Linked DNA regions of Caenorhabditis elegans. The protein of the gene in region 1 purifies or fractionates together with the protein of each later gene. This does not show direct contact. Each region holds a gene or a part of one and is shown in the gene's direction. Other genes may lie near its edges.

What was found. The genes of interacting proteins can lie anywhere in the genome.
Region 2: the proteins of C54E10.6 (region 1) and Y47D3A.14 fractionate together in Caenorhabditis elegans (co-fractionation; one large-scale study listed by BioGRID). This does not show direct contact.
Region 3: the proteins of C54E10.6 (region 1) and chdp-1 fractionate together in Caenorhabditis elegans (co-fractionation; one large-scale study listed by BioGRID). This does not show direct contact.

The regions. Positions count from the first base shown.
Region 1 is NC_003283.11:18,806,539-18,811,479, reverse strand, and holds C54E10.6 (Protein MNN4-like), read left to right. Parts: upstream 1-2,750; 5' UTR 2,751-2,818; coding exon 2,819-2,999; intron 3,000-3,212; coding exon 3,213-3,370; 3' UTR 3,371-3,411; downstream 3,412-4,941. Other genes in the region: C54E10.3 (G-protein coupled receptors family 1 profile domain-containing protein), read right to left, coding at 1-28, 187-475.
Region 2 is NC_003281.10:11,234,127-11,238,657, reverse strand, and holds Y47D3A.14 (CMP/dCMP-type deaminase domain-containing protein), read left to right. Parts: upstream 1-1,789; 5' UTR 1,790-1,802; coding exon 1,803-1,852; intron 1,853-1,921; coding exon 1,922-2,024; intron 2,025-2,075; coding exon 2,076-2,228; intron 2,229-2,276; coding exon 2,277-2,477; intron 2,478-2,523; coding exon 2,524-2,752; intron 2,753-2,921; coding exon 2,922-3,049; 3' UTR 3,050-3,077; downstream 3,078-4,531. Other genes in the region: aakb-2 (Association with the SNF1 complex (ASC) domain-containing protein), read right to left, coding at 571-847, 899-1,293, 1,355-1,507; Y47D3A.34 (AcidPPc domain-containing protein), read left to right, coding at 3,797-3,942, 4,483-4,531.
Region 3 is NC_003279.8:6,283,212-6,290,792, forward strand, and holds chdp-1 (Calponin homology domain-containing protein), read left to right. Parts: upstream 1-1,761; 5' UTR 1,762-1,796; coding exon 1,797-2,162; intron 2,163-2,476; exon of another isoform or gene 2,477-2,688; intron 2,689-3,136; exon of another isoform or gene 3,137-3,361; intron 3,362-3,452; coding exon 3,453-3,611; intron 3,612-3,824; coding exon 3,825-4,142; intron 4,143-4,215; coding exon 4,216-4,389; 3' UTR 4,390-4,556; intron 4,557-5,713; 3' UTR 5,714-6,127; downstream 6,128-7,581. Other genes in the region: C10G11.6 (Verprolin-like), read left to right, coding at 6,222-6,268, 7,105-7,159, 7,207-7,311, 7,359-7,465.

The DNA.
Region 1 (4,941 bases):
TTGCATACCCAGACGCCAGGAATTGTGTCTGTAAAAAACTACGTCGCTCCGAAATTCCGCTTGGTGGAAAATTAATTTTCCACCAAATTTAACCAAATTTTCTGGTTTTTTCCTAATTTTTGTTTAACTAGACACCGTTTTTACCTTATTTTCTTAGTTTTTCACTCAAAGAATCGCAAAACTCACCATAAATCACATCGCTATTCTCCACAATTACACTTGCCACCAAAGTACCCAAAAGTACAAAGTTCCCAGCTAAAATCGCACTGAAAAATGGCAGAAAATGCACATTTTTGCCAGTTTTGCCGTGAATATACAAAAAGCTTAGAAATATGATAAGTAGCGTGAAAAAACCAACGAAAAGTACCGAGTAGAAGAGGATTTGCGACGAGTTTTGCCATTCGTCGAGATAGGTTTGCTCATCGGTGAGCATTGATTGGTCAATGAAGGAGATCAGTGGGACTGAGATCGACATGCTGAAATTTTAATGTTTAGACTAAAAATTTGAGAAATTTGAGAAAAAACTATTCAAAAAACTGAATTTGTGGCTGTAAATCAAGATTTGTGATTAGAAAATTCGAATTCCTTGCCTAGAAAAACCTATATACCCTATCAGGGGGTCGAACCTGTGCCCTATTTCACCAAAGCCAAGCCACTTACCTACTGCGCCATATGGGAATCGCGTGGCAAAAAAGGCGCAGCGCGCGCCTAGCAGCATGGCGCAGTGGCTAAGAGGCTTACCTTTGGTAAAATAGGCCACAGGTTCGAATCCCATCGGGGGTACATATATTTTTTTAGGCGGAGAAATCGAATTGTTTACTTTTAAACTTAGAAAATCCACGTGGAAGGTGGAATTTTGAGTTAAAACTGTATACTTTTGACAGTTTCAACAATTTTTTTACAATATGCAAATCGAACTAAATGTTATGATCTCTGCAAAACCTTCATATTTGCAAATAATTTTTTTCAATGAATTTTTTTACTCAGCGTTTTTTACTTTCTCACTTAGAAAAAAATATATACCCTAGCAGGGGTTTGAACCTGTGACCTATTTCCCCAAAGGCAAGCCTGTTATCCACTGCGTCAACCCCTTCCTTCCTGGCTACTTCTCCGGAATTGCGCGCGCGCACGCATGGCTAAGTGAGTAAGAGGCTTGGCTATGGAAAAATAGGTCACTGGTTCGATTCTCAGGTAGGCTGTTTAGTTTTTTCTAGGTAAGAATTTGGAATTTTCATGGCTTGTGAGCTGAAAATTGGAGTTTTTAGCCATTATTTCTTCTTTTTTTCTAAAAAAAAGAATTTTTGAAGTCAATTTTAGTTTTCATATTTTAGAAAAATAGTCAAATGTACACCAATGCTTGAAAACTAGGAAAAAACTGAAAAATATCCGGAAGAGTGCTTGAAAGTGAAAAACAAAGGGATTAGTGGGAATTTTTAATTTTTTCGCAAAATTTTTCTCAATTTTCATAAACAGCTGTGCTAAAAATCTGGAAAATGCAGGAAATTGAATGTGCTCGGTGGGAAAAATTAGGAAACATGAATTATTCCTAAAAAGTAACAAATAATAAGCTAACACGCAATTATACACATTTTTTGCTGCTTTGGTGGCTTAAAAATGACGTAAATATAGCTTTTATTCAAACAAAAAAAATACATTTTTTCTAAAGATTGCGAAAAAAAAAAATTCTGGAAATTTTGAAAATTTCGAAAAAAATTTTTTTTGGAAAATTTGAAAATTCAATTTTTTTTTAATTTCAGGATTTTTGCTTAAAAACCCACAAAAATATGCTAACTCCAATTTTTATGCAATTTCCCTTCCTGAAAATCTAATTTTCCACTTAAAAACCACACAAAGAACACAAAGAAATCCAATTTTTTTTTTGGAAAAAAAAAAAAATTCTGAGATTTTCGCTCTTTTAGCCTATGCTGCATAATAATCCTAGAAAAATATCGGAAGCCTGACAAGAAGTTTCCAGAAAAACGTGACAATTTCAGCTTCCGGGGGGTTTCACACATTATTTTCTTTTCTCTGGCTATATTTTCGAGTTACATGGGAAAATGACAAATTTTTAACTAAAAGAAAGCAAAAAACAAATTTTTTTTTGAGAAAAGTGATGTGCAGCAAAAAATGCGGAAAATTTGGTTTTTTTTTAACTTTTAATTTTCCAAAAAACGAGGTTTTGCGTTGAGTTTGGCAATTTCAAATTCAAAAATTCGAATTTCTCACCTAGAAAAACCTGTATACCCCAACCGGGGTTCGAACCTGCGACCTATTTTTCCAGAGACGAGCCGCTTACCCACTGAGCCATGCTGGCAGGCGCGCGGTGCGCCACTTTTGCCACGCGGTTCCCATGTGGCGCAGTGGGTAGGTGGCTTGACTTCGGTGAAATAGGTCACAGGTTCGAGCCCCGAACTGGTTTACAGGTTTTTCTAGACGAGATTTTTGAATTTTTTAGTTTAAAACTCTGAAAATCGACACGAAATCGGGTTTGCTGATTTTTTTTTCGAACTTTTCATTTAAATTCCACCAATCTTTGGGTCTTCACAACCATAAATTTAATTTCCCGTAAATAAATTAGTTCTCCTTCCGAACCAAGCCACCAGCTGACACCAACGGCTGTGTTGCACTTCTCCCCGTCTCGCACCGTCTGCGTCTCCGCATGCTCTCTAACTCTCTCCCTCGGAGGCTGAATCCCAAGCCATCTGCTGTCCGCAGAGTGCTCATTCCTCACTTTTGTATTGATTTACTGAAAATTTGACGAGTTTTCGCCAGAATTTTGCTGGATTTTCACAAAACTTCCTGTATTTTCAGCCCAAAAATGTCTGAAATCTCCATAAAACGTGCACATGAAAACGAAAAAGATGCAGAGGAAGATATGGAGCCAGCAACTAAAAAAATTAAATCTGATGACGTCACAGAGGAGCAGGAGAAGCCTGAAATTGTGGAGAAAGCTGAAAAAGTGAAGAGCATGAAAAAGGAAGAAGCTGGCAGCCTGAAATGTGAGTTTTTGAGCAATTTTTGAAAAGAAATGGGTTAAAATAGACTGAAAATGGATGATTTTAAACTTTTTTCTAAAAATTAAAATTTTGAAAATTTTGATCAAAAAAAAAATTTTTTTTTGAAATTTCGAAAAAAAAAATGTTTGAAAAATTTACAATTTTTATTTTTTTTCCTATTCTTCATCAGAACATTTGAATCAAAAAAAATTCCAGCACCACCCAACGATGAAATGGAGTCAGAATTCACACATGTGCTCAATGAGCTCTCAAAACAGAAAGAGACTATCAAAAAACTGCTGGACGATTTGAGAGCGGACAATAAGAAAAGGAAGACACACAATATTAGAACGATTTTCCAGAGAAAAGATTGAAAATTTACTTTTTTTTTGACTATAAATATTTATTTTGCATATTTCAATTTTTTCAGTTTCAACAAAAACCGAACATTTTCAGAGCTTGCGACTATGAAATTCGAGTTTAGGAGAGTAGATATACCAAAGACAAATTTAAAAAAAAACACAGAAAAAAATTGTGCCACAGTGCGGACTCGAACCCCGGCCTTCAGATTGGTAGTCGTCGAAAATCCCACTGAGCCATTTGAGCATAATTTTTAAAAATCGCGGAACTACATTTTTTCAACAGTTTTTGAAATTTGAAAGACTTATCATTGAGTTTTCAAAGTTTTAGATACCTAAAGTTACTGGAATAAATAAAAATTCTCAAACTTTGATACTTGGAAATGAAATGTAAATGAAAATTGCTTCCGTGAGAATTCGGAGAAGTTAATGAAAAGCAACAACAACATATTACCTTAACATTTTTCCATCCAAAAAACCGAAAAATTAAACACCTTTTGTCAAAATTCAGTTCAAAAATAAGCTTTAAAAACTTTGAGATCTAAAAATTCAGATTTCTCGCCTAGAAAAACCTATTGTCACTCTCGTGGATCCGAACCCCCGACCATCTGCGCCAAAAACAAGCCTCTTACCCACTGCGCTGTAAGAGCACCGCGCGCGCAAGCTGCATGGCGCAGTGGGTAAACGGTTTGGCTATAGAGCAATAGGGGACAGGTTCGAACCCCCGGAAGGGTATATAGGTTTTTCTAGGCGTGAAAATTGAATTTTCAACTTTAAAATTGAAAAAAATCTACTTGAAGATCGAAATTCTCGAGTTTACCAGGGTTTGGCCTAATTTTTATGGTTTTTATTTGAAATTATTTGTAGAAGCCTGAGTGTTTTGAGAAAAACACATAAATTCCAAAAATAACTTGCAAAATAATTTCGTGGATTTTATGAATTTCACTGTTCCATTAAGTTTTAGGCAATTTAAAACCCAAAAATTCAAATTTTTCGCCTAGAAAAACCTGTAGCCACTCTCTGGGACTCGAACCCGCGGCCTTCTGCGCCAAAAGCAAGCCTCTTACCCACTGCGCCATAAGTGTACCGCGCGCGCCTGCTGCATGGCGCAGTGGATAAGAGGCTTGCTTTTGGCGCAAAAGGTCAGGGCTCGACCCCGAGAAGGGTATATAGGTTTTTATAGGCGGTGAATTCAAATTTTTTTGTTTAAAACTACCATTTTGAATGGAAAAGTGACTTTTTTCCAAAAAAAAAAAACTAAAATTTTTATATTTTCCAAGTTTTAAGTATTGAGTATAGGTTTTTCTCTGTGAGAGGTTCAAAATTCAAACTTACAATTTTCTACAAGTAGTCTGAGAATCTAAATTTTAAGCTATTCACCCGGGATCAGCAAATCAAATTTTCACGAGAAAATTGGTTCTGCCGGCGAAAACAGGTGAAGTTTTTTTAAAGAAAATTATACAAATATACAAATTTTGCAGGTGAAAAAATTGAAAAAAAAAAACGAAAAAAAAAATCATGAACCAGATCACTGAACTCCAGTCACATTTTTTTCAAATCTTGCAGTTTTTTGTCAAATTTCTCCA
Region 2 (4,531 bases), on another chromosome or scaffold:
AAGAGGCGACTATAATACAAAAACTAAAGAGTGGGAGAAAATTTTGGAACTTTGGTCTCGGGAGCTTGAAAAATCAAGATTTTTCTACAAAAAATCCAAAAAAATCGAGATTTTTCAATTTTGAAGCACGACCAATCAGGGCTTAGCTCCGCCCACTTTTCAACCAATCACAACCCCATGGCGCGGTTTTTGCTGTCTTTTTGTGTTTAATCGATTTTTTTTCGGTTTTTTTCCCCGAATTTTGCAACGGAAAACAACAATTTTTGTCTTTATTCCTGAAAAAAGATGATGCAAAACGATAAGTTTATGTCGTTTTGCTTAATTTTTTTCAGAAATAGAGACAAAAAAGGCTATATTTTGGGAAAAATGGTAGATTTCTATTTAAAAATAGTTAAAAACACTTTTTTTAAAAGAATATAATCGAGCGAAATCAAGAAATTTTGAATTAAAAATAGGAAAAACCGTACCGCAGTATGATTGGTTCAATAGTGGGCGGAGCTAATCGCTGATTAGTCAGGGCATTTTTTTCGATTTTTTTCAACAAAAAACCCCACAAAACAAGAAAAACAGTTAGACAGGCTTGTAGAGAAGAGTGGTGACGAACTTCTTGCGATAGCGTTGCGTCGATGAGAGCACCATAACGCTGTCCTTGATGGAGAGCGCGTACATGTGGTTGAGCATCACATGATTCGGCTCCGGCAGCACATTCGGATCGCATGACTCGGGCGTCTCCTTGTTGAGAAGCACCTGCATGAGTTGTGGTGGAATTACTGGTGGTCCGGCTGCCTTCCGAAGCATATCCATTGATGGGATCTCTTGGGTGAAGGAGCGCAGTTTTTCGAGCTCTCTGAAAAAGTTTTTTTTAGTTTTTTAGTGAACATTTCTGAAGTTTTCTCACCTGTCATTCGGAGTATCATGATTCTTGGTGCTCTCCGACTCGCCACGGAGCACCTCCCCGGCTGTAGATGACTGGAAGTCTTCATCCAGCGCTTCGAAAACTGCAAAATCCGAGTCTTGAATATTGATCATATTGTTCTCATTTCCATGAACGTCCTGTGCCTTTCCCTGATTATCGTCGACGACCCACGAGCCGTCCACTTGGAATTTGTACTCGTATTGTCCGGGTTGCAGGTCGATGATTGTCGAAAAGTCGTTTGTCGACTTTACCATCGGGATCCGCGTCTGCCAGTTATCCCATGATCCAACGATATGGACGACACGTGGCTGTGCGTTTTGTGTGAAACTCCAGCGGAATACCACTGGGCATTCGCCGGATTTGTCCTCATTTCCGTCCTGAAAATATTGAAAAATAATTTAAAAAAGGAATTTTTGGGATTTTTTGTGAAAATCTCACATCAAAAATCATCGGCGGTCCTCCATCCGGGTTCGGGAGTACTTGTCCGGCGATTTTTGCCGTTTCGCTCATCATCCGATGCCTTCGGAGGCCCGCCTTGTCGTTTGGGCCTCCATAGCGGGCGTCGGGCCCTCCAGACTGATTGTTGCCCATTTTCTTCTGGAATTTTCGCAATAAATCGATGAAATAAGGTGGAAAGAAGATTGAGAATTGAAAAAATGTGAGAAATCTCGGAAAAACCGACGAAAATTGATAAAAGTGACGGGATTAAAAATAAATAAACAGCTGCAAAATGCACATGATTCGGGTGCGGCGCGGAAATGTGGGCGGGGCGGAGGCAGGCAATGCCGCCGCACACTTTTTTCCATATTTATTTTTTGGATTTATTTATTTAATTTTTGCCGTTTTATCTATTTTTAAACAGTTTTTTTTCAGATTTGCAAGGAAAATGTCACTGGAAGAGCCTCCGGAAAAAATTAGAAAAATCGATACGATGAGGTAAGCCGTAAAAACCATTTTTGAAATAAAAATCCTCAAAAATCCTCAAAAACAACAACAAAATTCCAGAATTAAAGTCTACCCAATTCTGGATTCAACTCTCACTTGCGACACAATCCCATCGACTTCCTTCCAAGCTTTACGACTTGAAAACAAGAAAATTATTGGGACAGTAGGGAAACTTACCCTTTCCCCAAAATTAGTCGAAATTCTATATTTTCAGATTATCAGGCGACTTCCAGAACTTCCAGAAGAGCTTTCACACTTGAAAAGAGTCGGAAAAGACGGAAGTGTGCTGATAGCAGAGTCGGAGGAAGTCGCAAAGCTTATCGTGGGAAAGTTGGAGGACGCAGAAGCTCGGGTGGAAGATTTAGTGGTAGAAAATCAAAAAAAATCTGAAAATTCCTAATTTTTCAATTTTCAGCCAGTAAAAGTCGCGAGAACCAAGCCACAGACCCGACGGCAATTCCAAGTGGCTAAGGAGCTCTGGCCAACAGGATTTCACCCGAATCATGAGCTCGAGCAACTTCTAGACGGCTCTTTTCTCACAGAATCGCTGAAAAAATACGTGGATCGATGGCTCGGCGAAGCTGCTCGGCTGGGGGATGGTTGTATAGCTGTGCAGGTAATTTGCACCGCCTGAAAAATCCAAAAAATCCAAAAAATTCCAGAACGACGAGCTCCTCTCCACGGGCCGCCCGTCTTCCCATCCACTCGGCCACCCGGTAATGGAAATGGTTGGAAATCTGCCGAAAAGACACGGCGATGACTATCTTGGCACCGGATCCGACGTTTTCCTCATCACGGAGCCCTGTGCAATGTGCTCAATGGCTTTGGTGCATTTTCGTGTGAAGCGGGTTTTTTACGCGCGGAATTCCCGGAATGGCGTGTTGAAAGAAGGTTTGAAATGGAGAAATATTGAGAAAAAACCAGAAAAATTCATTTTTCCCACTGATTGCATATGAAAATTTAGAAATTTTTGGGTGAAAATCAACAAAATTCAATTTTTAAAAAACTTTTTTCATTTAAATTTCTCGATTTTCGTGTCAAAATTAAAATTAATTTTTAGACGGCTGGCAACTGCACCTGGAGCCCTCCATCAACCACCACTACGAGGTTTTTCGTGTTGAAGGCCTTCTGGATAATAATTATATTGTTGATAATTCTGACCGTTTTTGTTCCAATATTCAATTGTGAAGTTTTTTTTTTAATAAAAAAACAATACAAAATTGGTGGCCGAGTTCTTTACATCTCACGGCCACGTAGAGCTCAATCAGTGGAAATTACAGAAAGTTTCGAGTTTTGTTAATTTTTCATGTGAAATTGTAGTCTCTTTGTAGATTTTTTCCCAACTTCAGAGGTTTTAAATGTTTTTTGCATTAAAATCACCCCTACAGTACCCATATAATACACCTACAGTACCCCTACGGTACCCTGCAGTACAGTAAGCCAACAGTACCCCTATATTACCCTTACAGTATGACTACAGTACCCCTACAGTACCCTGCAGTACAGTAATCATACAGTACACCTATGATACCCCTACATTGCTCCCACAGCATGACTACAGTACCCCTACAGTACCCGTAACGTACCCATACAGTTCCCACATCGTACTTCTAGCAACTGTACCTTCCTGCAGCATACCGTTTATGTCAAACTACAGTTATTCTACAGTTTCTAAAATCTATCTACAGTATCTGCAGATCATCTTTCAAACGTGAAATGGATATTTTAGATATTGAAAAGCATTAGCCTTCTCCTTTTTCCTGAAAAAAAAGGTTTCCCAAGAAATCCCAACCTAAAATCGAATTTGCCGGCGGGTTCACACAATCCACAAAACAATCCGTTTACCCCGTACTCCTCCTCCTTTTGTCAAGAATTCACCCCGCAAAAAGTTTCAATTTTGCTCAAGCTTTCACTTTCCCTACTTTTCCAGGAAAAATGCACCCGAAAGTCAAAAAATCCTGGGAAATTTTGAAAATCTGCGTGTTTTTTCTGACGCTGTTCACTTTACTGTTTGCCACGTCGATTATCAATTTCTATCTGACACCTAGATTTTCAGGGCTCTGCGATTTTTATGATTATGGGTGAGTTTGTTGGTAAAAATTGATTTTTTTAATTTTGGAAATAAAATATTACTATACAGATGTGGACTAGTACTTTTTTTTATATTTTTTTTAGTAGGCTAGGGTTACTGTGGAGTACTGTAACATTGCGGGGGTACTGTAGTAGGCTTAGGGTTACGATTCTGGCTACTGTAGGATTACTGTAGTTTAAGGTTCATATATTCTGCCAGTTCTGTGATGTGTGTGATGGTTTAGTAGTACTGTAGGTATACCGTAGGGTTACTGTAGCTTGGGAAATTTTAGCTTTTGTCTATAGAAGAGGTGTTGGGTTGGAAGTTGGTGGGGGATCATGTCAAGGTTCTGTAGTGGTACTGTAGGGGTACTGTAGGTATACGGTAGGGCTACTGTAGGCTAATGATACTGTAGAGCCACGACCTGAAACTGTATAAATAGGTACCTAGAGTAGCCGTTGCCTACCGTAACCATATAGGATCGTGGCCCTGTAGTACCATTGGCCTACCGTAATATCATAAATGTAAGGTTACTGTAGGATTACTGTAGAATTTTGTTTTTCATAAATGCCACGTCATCGGACGTTACAAAAGAGGAA
Region 3 (7,581 bases), on another chromosome or scaffold:
AAAATGATAATGATTATCAGAGCATTATCAGTTTTCCTAACCGCCATGAACATTGAGCATTGCACCGCTTTTATCAGTTATTACCGTACTAATTGTTTCCGCTTTAGATAATTCCGTTCTATCATCCGATAAAATAGCGCTAAATAATTCTTCAACCTTTTTATTGGTATGAACTCGATGCAATGCTTTCAACTCTCAAATACCCAGTAATTTTGGTTGTCATGGTTACATTCGATTGTGAACCTTCAAAAATTATCTGTTTTCAATTTCATCACTCAAGCAGCACACGCAAACATCCATCCAGCGCGGACACCCGCCCCACAAGTCAGTAGACTCCGCCCAAATTTTCCGTCCGCTATGAGAGACGGGAGAGGGACACATTTGCCGCTGCTGCTGCCGCAATGGAAAGGGACGTTTCGGTGGCTGCTGCCACTGTGTGCATCATTGCGGTTGGGTGGTGTGGTGATGGTGCTGGTAATGGTTGACGATTGGACCACTGGCCTTGTCCTCTTTTTCACTGCAAAATGTGTGCAATACCCCTGCTCTCATATTCATTCATTTCGTCGCCCACATCCATTCCATTCGTCTTTTCTGGACATTTCTTGTTCTCTTTTTGACTCCGCCTTTTTCTCGATTTCGTAATCTATGTTTCCTATGTTTCTCATTTCGAAATCATGAATGACTCATGCTCTGAAGTTCGGACTTCTGTTCATTTCACTTCTATTTGCTTCATTTTTAAATTTAGTGTAGGTGAGAACAGCAACGACTGAATCAGAATCGAGAGCAAATAGGGGGCGGGCGGCGGTTCGATATATCAAATGACACGGAGGTAGACCATTCAAAAAGGTAAATGGTGTTAGTGGACCCTCGCCTCTCATCTCATACCGTCTCTTTCTCTCGTCTGAATAGTCTTTTTGACACACTTATTGTCGTTATGAAATGAATGTGAATAGAGGAAAAAAGGAGATTGAATGACCCTTTTTCGCCACCTCACCTGCTGAGTAAGAACCGGTTATTCCAGAATAGTGAAAGGCTCTTTTGGTTTCTTTTCTTAAGCCTTCTAGTACTCTACCTTCCTACATTTATTGCCTTTTTTCGTCCAGACGAATGTTTTCCAGGAAAAGTGAGCGCTTCTTATCTCGTTAGCATTATTCTTCGATTCAATTCAAGTCGCATATGACTAGTTCTTCTTTTTAAATCATAACCTAAACGCGCATTTTCTCTTCATGACCTTTTCCCGCAATTTGAGCATCGATTGACTGTTCTAGCCCCCGCAGCGTTCAGCGTTCCGCGTACCATCTAGTCTCTTCACACAATCAGTCTTACATTATTGTCCCTACTATAACATCGTCTTCTCTTTCTTTTTACATTGTCTCACTTGAGTTCTTCGTCTTTTTTTGTTCTTCTCATCTATATCCACTAAAACCCCATTCTTGGAGACGGTTCTAGAATAGAAAATGAGTCCTCGACAGAGACGGGTGCAATTAGTGTCCAAGCGAGAGAGAAGCTTTTGCTCATTCCGGTTTTGTCTTTTGCCTACCAAAATGTGCTACCCCGGCTTACTAGCGGCTCGCTACTGGAGACTCTATTCGATTACCCCCGTAATTGAGTTGACTTTCATGGTAGTCTTCTGTTTTTCCCCATTCCATTTTCTCATTTTTCTTATTCTCCTCTCCAACTCGTCTATTTCTCTCGTATTTTTTCTCCATTTTTAGCTCTTTGTTTCTCCGAATACCTCGAAAATTAATGAGTTTCTTTCAGTCTCAGTTCTCTCGTCACTAACCAACACATCAACTATGTCTGAGGAAATCAAGAAGATCGAGGAGGTCGCCGAGCAAGACAAGGCTCCAAAGGTTCCAACCACCGAACCACCAGTCGATGTTCCAGCACCAGTTACTGAAGAAGCACCAAAAGTAGAAGAAGCTGTCGCTGAGATTGCTGCCCCAGCTGCTGCAGAAGGAGAAACTGCCACCGCTGCTGCTGCAGCTCCAGAAGAGAAAAAGAAGTCTGGAGGTGTTGCTCGGCGTTTCACTTTCAACAAGAGATGGGGAAAGCACCGTGATGCGGAAGCATCCACTCCAAAAGAGCCAGAAGCACCAAAGGATCCAAAGGAAGACGTTCTCGGATGGATTGCTCAACAGATTCCACAGGCTGTTCACAAGGTAAGAATACTTTCAAAATAACTAAAACGATTCAGGGCAGATGGTATTCTCGCTAGAGCAACCGAAACGCAGGTTTAGTATTCACCCTAGCATAACAGCTGTTTCCGATTAGCCCCCATTCTCACCAGTTACCTTTGAATTCAAATTACCGCAGTTCGATTTTTTAAGAATCATAGGTGAATTCATTGGAATGCCTAAAAATTTCTAGGAATTGGCCAAAACGATGCATAAGTACTTTTAACTAACAAGAACCTATCTGAAATTTGATCCTGAGCTCACAAAAAAGTTTGGAACAAGTGCATTTTCCCCTACTCCTTCACAAGTTCATTAAGTCTATTCATCAACATTTGCAATGTATCGCTCATTGGTATTTGCAAGGTTTTTTGTTTGATCGCGCCGGCGAGATTGGCGATGTGCGTCGGCACTCTGTAAAAGGGCAGCTGTGCCAATCTTTCCTCGTTCCGACGCTCGTATTGCTGCAGACCCCGTAGAATGGTGTTGTAATGTAACTAACTGTGTGTGCGCGCGCACCGGATTCGCTATTGCGTAACTCTTTAGGATAATGAGAGGCAGATATTGTAGATATCCTAGAAATTGACAGACGTTCGTAAAAGTTATAAAATCGATGTTGTCTGGTGACCAGGATATTTACACGAATTAGAAATAAAAAGATGTGTGATTCGACTTTAAATTTTGAATACTCACAAAAATAATCCCCATGGAAACGGAAACAAAAATACATGACGAAAAGTATTTATATTTCATCATAATTTCGAAACATCTGTTTTATACAATGAGATTCACAAAGATTAGCATGTATGAAATCTCTTTTAAAGTCTGAATTTCGCAGGAATTTTGAGAGAAGAAAGTTTAGAAGCTATACAAAAAATTGGGTCAATTTCCCTAGACATTAATCCTGAACAATTGCTGGTTCAGTTCGACAGCCATTTTTTGTTGGTACACAAGATGAATTCGTCCTTTTTGCATCTTCTTTCCCAAAAAAAAAGGAACTCATTGGTTGAACCGCGCTGCTGCTCTGCTCCTCCTTTCTTTGTTTCTTAATTCTGATGCAAACGCACTTCTGTTTTAGTGGTTGCCGTCTTTCTTGTCCAGCACGAATGAGAATGATCTCTTATATGGAGGCTTGCAACATTGAGAGTGCTCTCATGGGATTATAGCAGAAAGAACTGGTATTGGATATTTGCGTCTTTTTTGCACTGAGAAAACAAATTACATTGGAACGTTCTTTTTTCGGATTCTTATTTTGGTCATTAAAGTTTTATTTTTCAGGCCAACTACCAGGTTATCGACTGGGTTCAGAAGACAGCTATCCCAGAGGAAGGAGAGCGAAAGACCATTCCGGGAAAAGATCAGGCCACGACTCGCAACCAATTCATTGGATTCTTCAAAGATGGAGATGTCCTCGCCAAGCTGGCCAACGCTCTTGAGGTATGTTAATTTCACTTTTCTGATAAGAATATATGGGGTAATGATGATGATGATAAAATGTGATAAGTGATATGCAAATAGGTCGGAAGGTGCATTATCAATTAGCGGTATTTCCGTTCCGACATTGATCGGAATTCGGAAATATTTTGAGATCTATTATATGAGTTAATTAAGTGAGGGATCTTAATCATGAAAACAAATTAAAATTTACAGCCAGGAGCAGTTGAAGTCGCTGCCGCTGAGGAAAACGCCGATGCTGCAGCCCAGAAAGAAGTTCAGAAGAAGAACATTGATGCCTTCGGAGCTTGGGCTCAAAAGACTCTTGGAACCGAGGCTGCTCCAGTAACCAACGAAGATCTTCTTGAAAAGGGAAAAGCTGGATACACAGCTGTTTTCCAAACTCTCTGGCAACTCGGAGTTCAGGCCAAGGAAAAGTTTGACAAGGAAGGATTCAATGTTGACACCATTGTTCAGCTTGCAAACTCTGTCGTCAAGAGCGGATTGTTGACCACAATCCTAGGATTCTTCAGAGTGAGTTATATTCTAGATTAATTTTCAATTAACTTTTGTTTTTATTTTTGATAGCTAATTTATCTTGTTTCAGAGAAATCGGCAAGCTGCTGCTGCTGTAGAAGAGCCAAAGGATGAGACTGCAGCTGCGGAGGGAGCCGGAGAAGCAAAAGAAGAGGGAGCTACCGGAGAAGTTGCAGATACCGCTGATGAGCCAGTTGCAGTGAAACAAGAGACTAGTGCACCGGCTGCCGTCGCTGCAAATTAGAAATCTGGAAGAAGTATTTATCTTTCTGTAATTTCTAGTCCGCATCTCTCTTTTCCACTATCGTGTTCCGGTATCTCAACTGTTTCCTCCGCCTCTTCATTCCAAATATTCAATGTCTCTTCCTCGAAACGATGATGATAGCTCAAAGAAGAAATGTGCTCTCAAAAGTAAGTGTAGTACAAAAACGATGACCGTCTGGCGGGATGTGTGTTTGAGTAACGGATTTATATGCATAAAGAGTCCTTATTTGGTCTCGGTTTTGGACCGTTTAGTGTAGCGCGGAAGTGGAAAAGTGTACTATTGGACTTCTCGTTCTACAAAGCGTGTGCTCACATTCCATCGGTCGGCGTGCTCTTAATGAGAAGACAAGTGTTGGTTTTGTTTTTGGAACTGGGCCAAGTCTCTCCCATTTCTATTTTCTCTATTGAGGGAAAATAGTACAAATGAGAGAGGCAATAATTAGGAAGCGATGGACAATTATGGGTCACTGAGCACCACAAAAGGACCGCCTTTCTATAATTAGAAAGGTGCAAACATTCTCTATGTAGACATACCTTGATTTTAATTTTATAACGCTTGAGTTAGTTCTAGAAACTCTTTAGAAAATTTCTAACTGAAAGGCGTAAATTTCTTGAGATTCTCTCGGAAGACAAAACAATAGGATCAAAGTTTGGACATTGATTTTTTTTACCGAATCCTTGGAATGATGTATTTGTCCTCCGCCAAACTTTTTTTTAAATTTCTCGTCTTCCGTTTCCTTCTCGCTTGAGGATCCCAAATAGGCGTGGAATTGGAGACTGTAGATCAGATTATACCTCTCATTCACATTTTCGGAGGCGAGTCCTGTACAAAAAAAGCGAGAAGACCTTGACTCGGTGACCCTTTCAAATTGTCTACCGTCTCTTCTATGGTCCGTACTGCATCGTGACTTGTTTCCTGTCGTCATCATACAGGTCAACCTTACCAACCGATCCTAAGTAATTTGAGTCGGAAGAAGTGGTTGAGAGGGGTTCGTAGGGTGTCTGGTGTGGTAGATTGAACTGTTTATATTCTAAAAGGGCAGCTGAGAAGGACCTTGAGAATATAATTGTTTATACTAAAAAGTCACGAGCAGCCACAGAAAATATCCTTTTTTGAAGTAATTGGTCATCAATTTCTGCTCGCTGACAAAAAAGGTCCAAAATGGTCAATTGACAGATGATGATATTTAACGAGAAACGGAAAGGGGTTCTGCGCTTATTTTTAATGTGCCGTTGAATGCAATTATTCAATTATCTGTGAAATGAGGATATCAAGAAAAAACTAATAAATTTAATTATTTCAGCACTATCTTCAATCAAAGCAATCATCTTCATTTCGATGTCGGCCGGGCAGCAGCAATCAATTTTTAAAAAATCTTTTCTCTAAAAGAAAATCTAATTTTGTTCATCGTTTTACCATTCTTCATTTCAACCAATTTTCTCACCTAATAAGACTTTAATAATCGATAATTGATCTATAAAAGTCTATTTTTCACCAATCTCTCGATTCATCAAACTTTTTTTGTATTTTGATAACTATTGTCTCAGCTTTCTCTTTTTGTGCTTTTCATCCTCCAAAAGTGTGAAGCTCATTAAATGAGCCTTTCCACTTGATTGATTCGAGATTTTTCCTGTTTTTCCAAAGTTCAATCTCTATTCTCTCGCTTTTTTCAACTTCAGTTTTTTCTCATTTTTCGAAATAAATAATGGAACCAACCAATTCTTCTTCGTTGTGCATGTTGTTTTTGAGTTAACATTGGTTCTAAATTTATTTTAAATTAAAAAAGTTCTAAATACAGTTAAAATATTCAGATGTTTTCAACAACACCAATTAAAGAAGAATCATGGAGACATGAAGGGTAAGAAATTATAAAAAGTTCTAAATACAGTAAAATAATTTTTTTCGCAAGGAATTGTAATCTTACTGTCAGTTGTTTTATAGAAATTTTGAAGCATCTCAAATATTTCAAGCCTCCTTTCGCTAATTTTTTGTGAATCAGATTAAATATTTTTTGTTTTAAGAACTTAACGTTTAAATTCAAGACATAAAAAACTCGAGAAATCTTAGATAAAATACGCAAAAATCGAAAGAATTTTGAAATTATTGCTTTACATGTCGCGACCTTCAATTGTTTCTAATCGTAGACCCAAAATTTTGCGATTTTTGAGCCAAGAACACGGTATTCGGTCTCGGCACGACAATTTCTCGTTAAATGAAAAATAGTGTGCGTCTTAAGAGTGTACTGTAATTTCAACCTTCCGTTCCTGCGCAATTTTTGATATTTTTTTCGTTAAAAAAGATGTTTAAAAAAACTAAATTCAAACCCGGGTACTGTATTTTAGCGCGAAATTTCGCTTCTGAGCAATAATTGGGAATCTGCAGTAATGCTTTTTTCCGGCCAAAAACCCCCTAAAGTTATTAAACTGCGAGATTCTGTAAACTGCCGATTTACTCTATCAATTCTACAAAACCAACAACCCATGTGGCCTTTTTTGTTTTTATTTCATTTTCTCTTTGCGCTCCCATCTTTCGTCTTTTCATGTCTGCACTCTTCTAAAACCATAATGTCTGATGCCTCTCATTTTCTCTGCGTCTTCTCTTTAAAACATTGTGCGCGTTGTTATTTTTTTCTGCAAAAATATTAACCATACAGAGTTAACTTTTCATTGAATATTTTTTATAATAAAATTTCAGATTTCCAATGAAATATCAATTGGACGAAGACGACGAAGAAGGGCTTGTTCATTCGGTAGGGTTTTGAATGAAAAAATACGTTAAAATTTGAAATATTTTCAGCCACATTCATCTTTTACCACGGAAAACCTTCGATCTTCTGATCCTATGTTTTTTGATATAAATAGATGGAAACGAGAAGTTGGAACTGTGATACGATCGGAAAATGTAAGGAATCAAAAAATATCATTTATCAAAACTGAAACGTTTTTCAGCATGTTTTAATACATAATGATGATGAGATCCGAAATGCAATTTCTAAAGCAATGCTCCTTGATTCTGCATCTGAACATTTGCAAAGAAAGAGAAAACGACTCATTGAGTGAGTTAATTCAGTACAAAAAGCTTAGAAGCATTAATTTTTATAAATTAAAATTTTTTAAACAAAAAAAGGCTTTTTGAATTGAAGATCATTGTTTTCATAGTCGATTTAGTTTA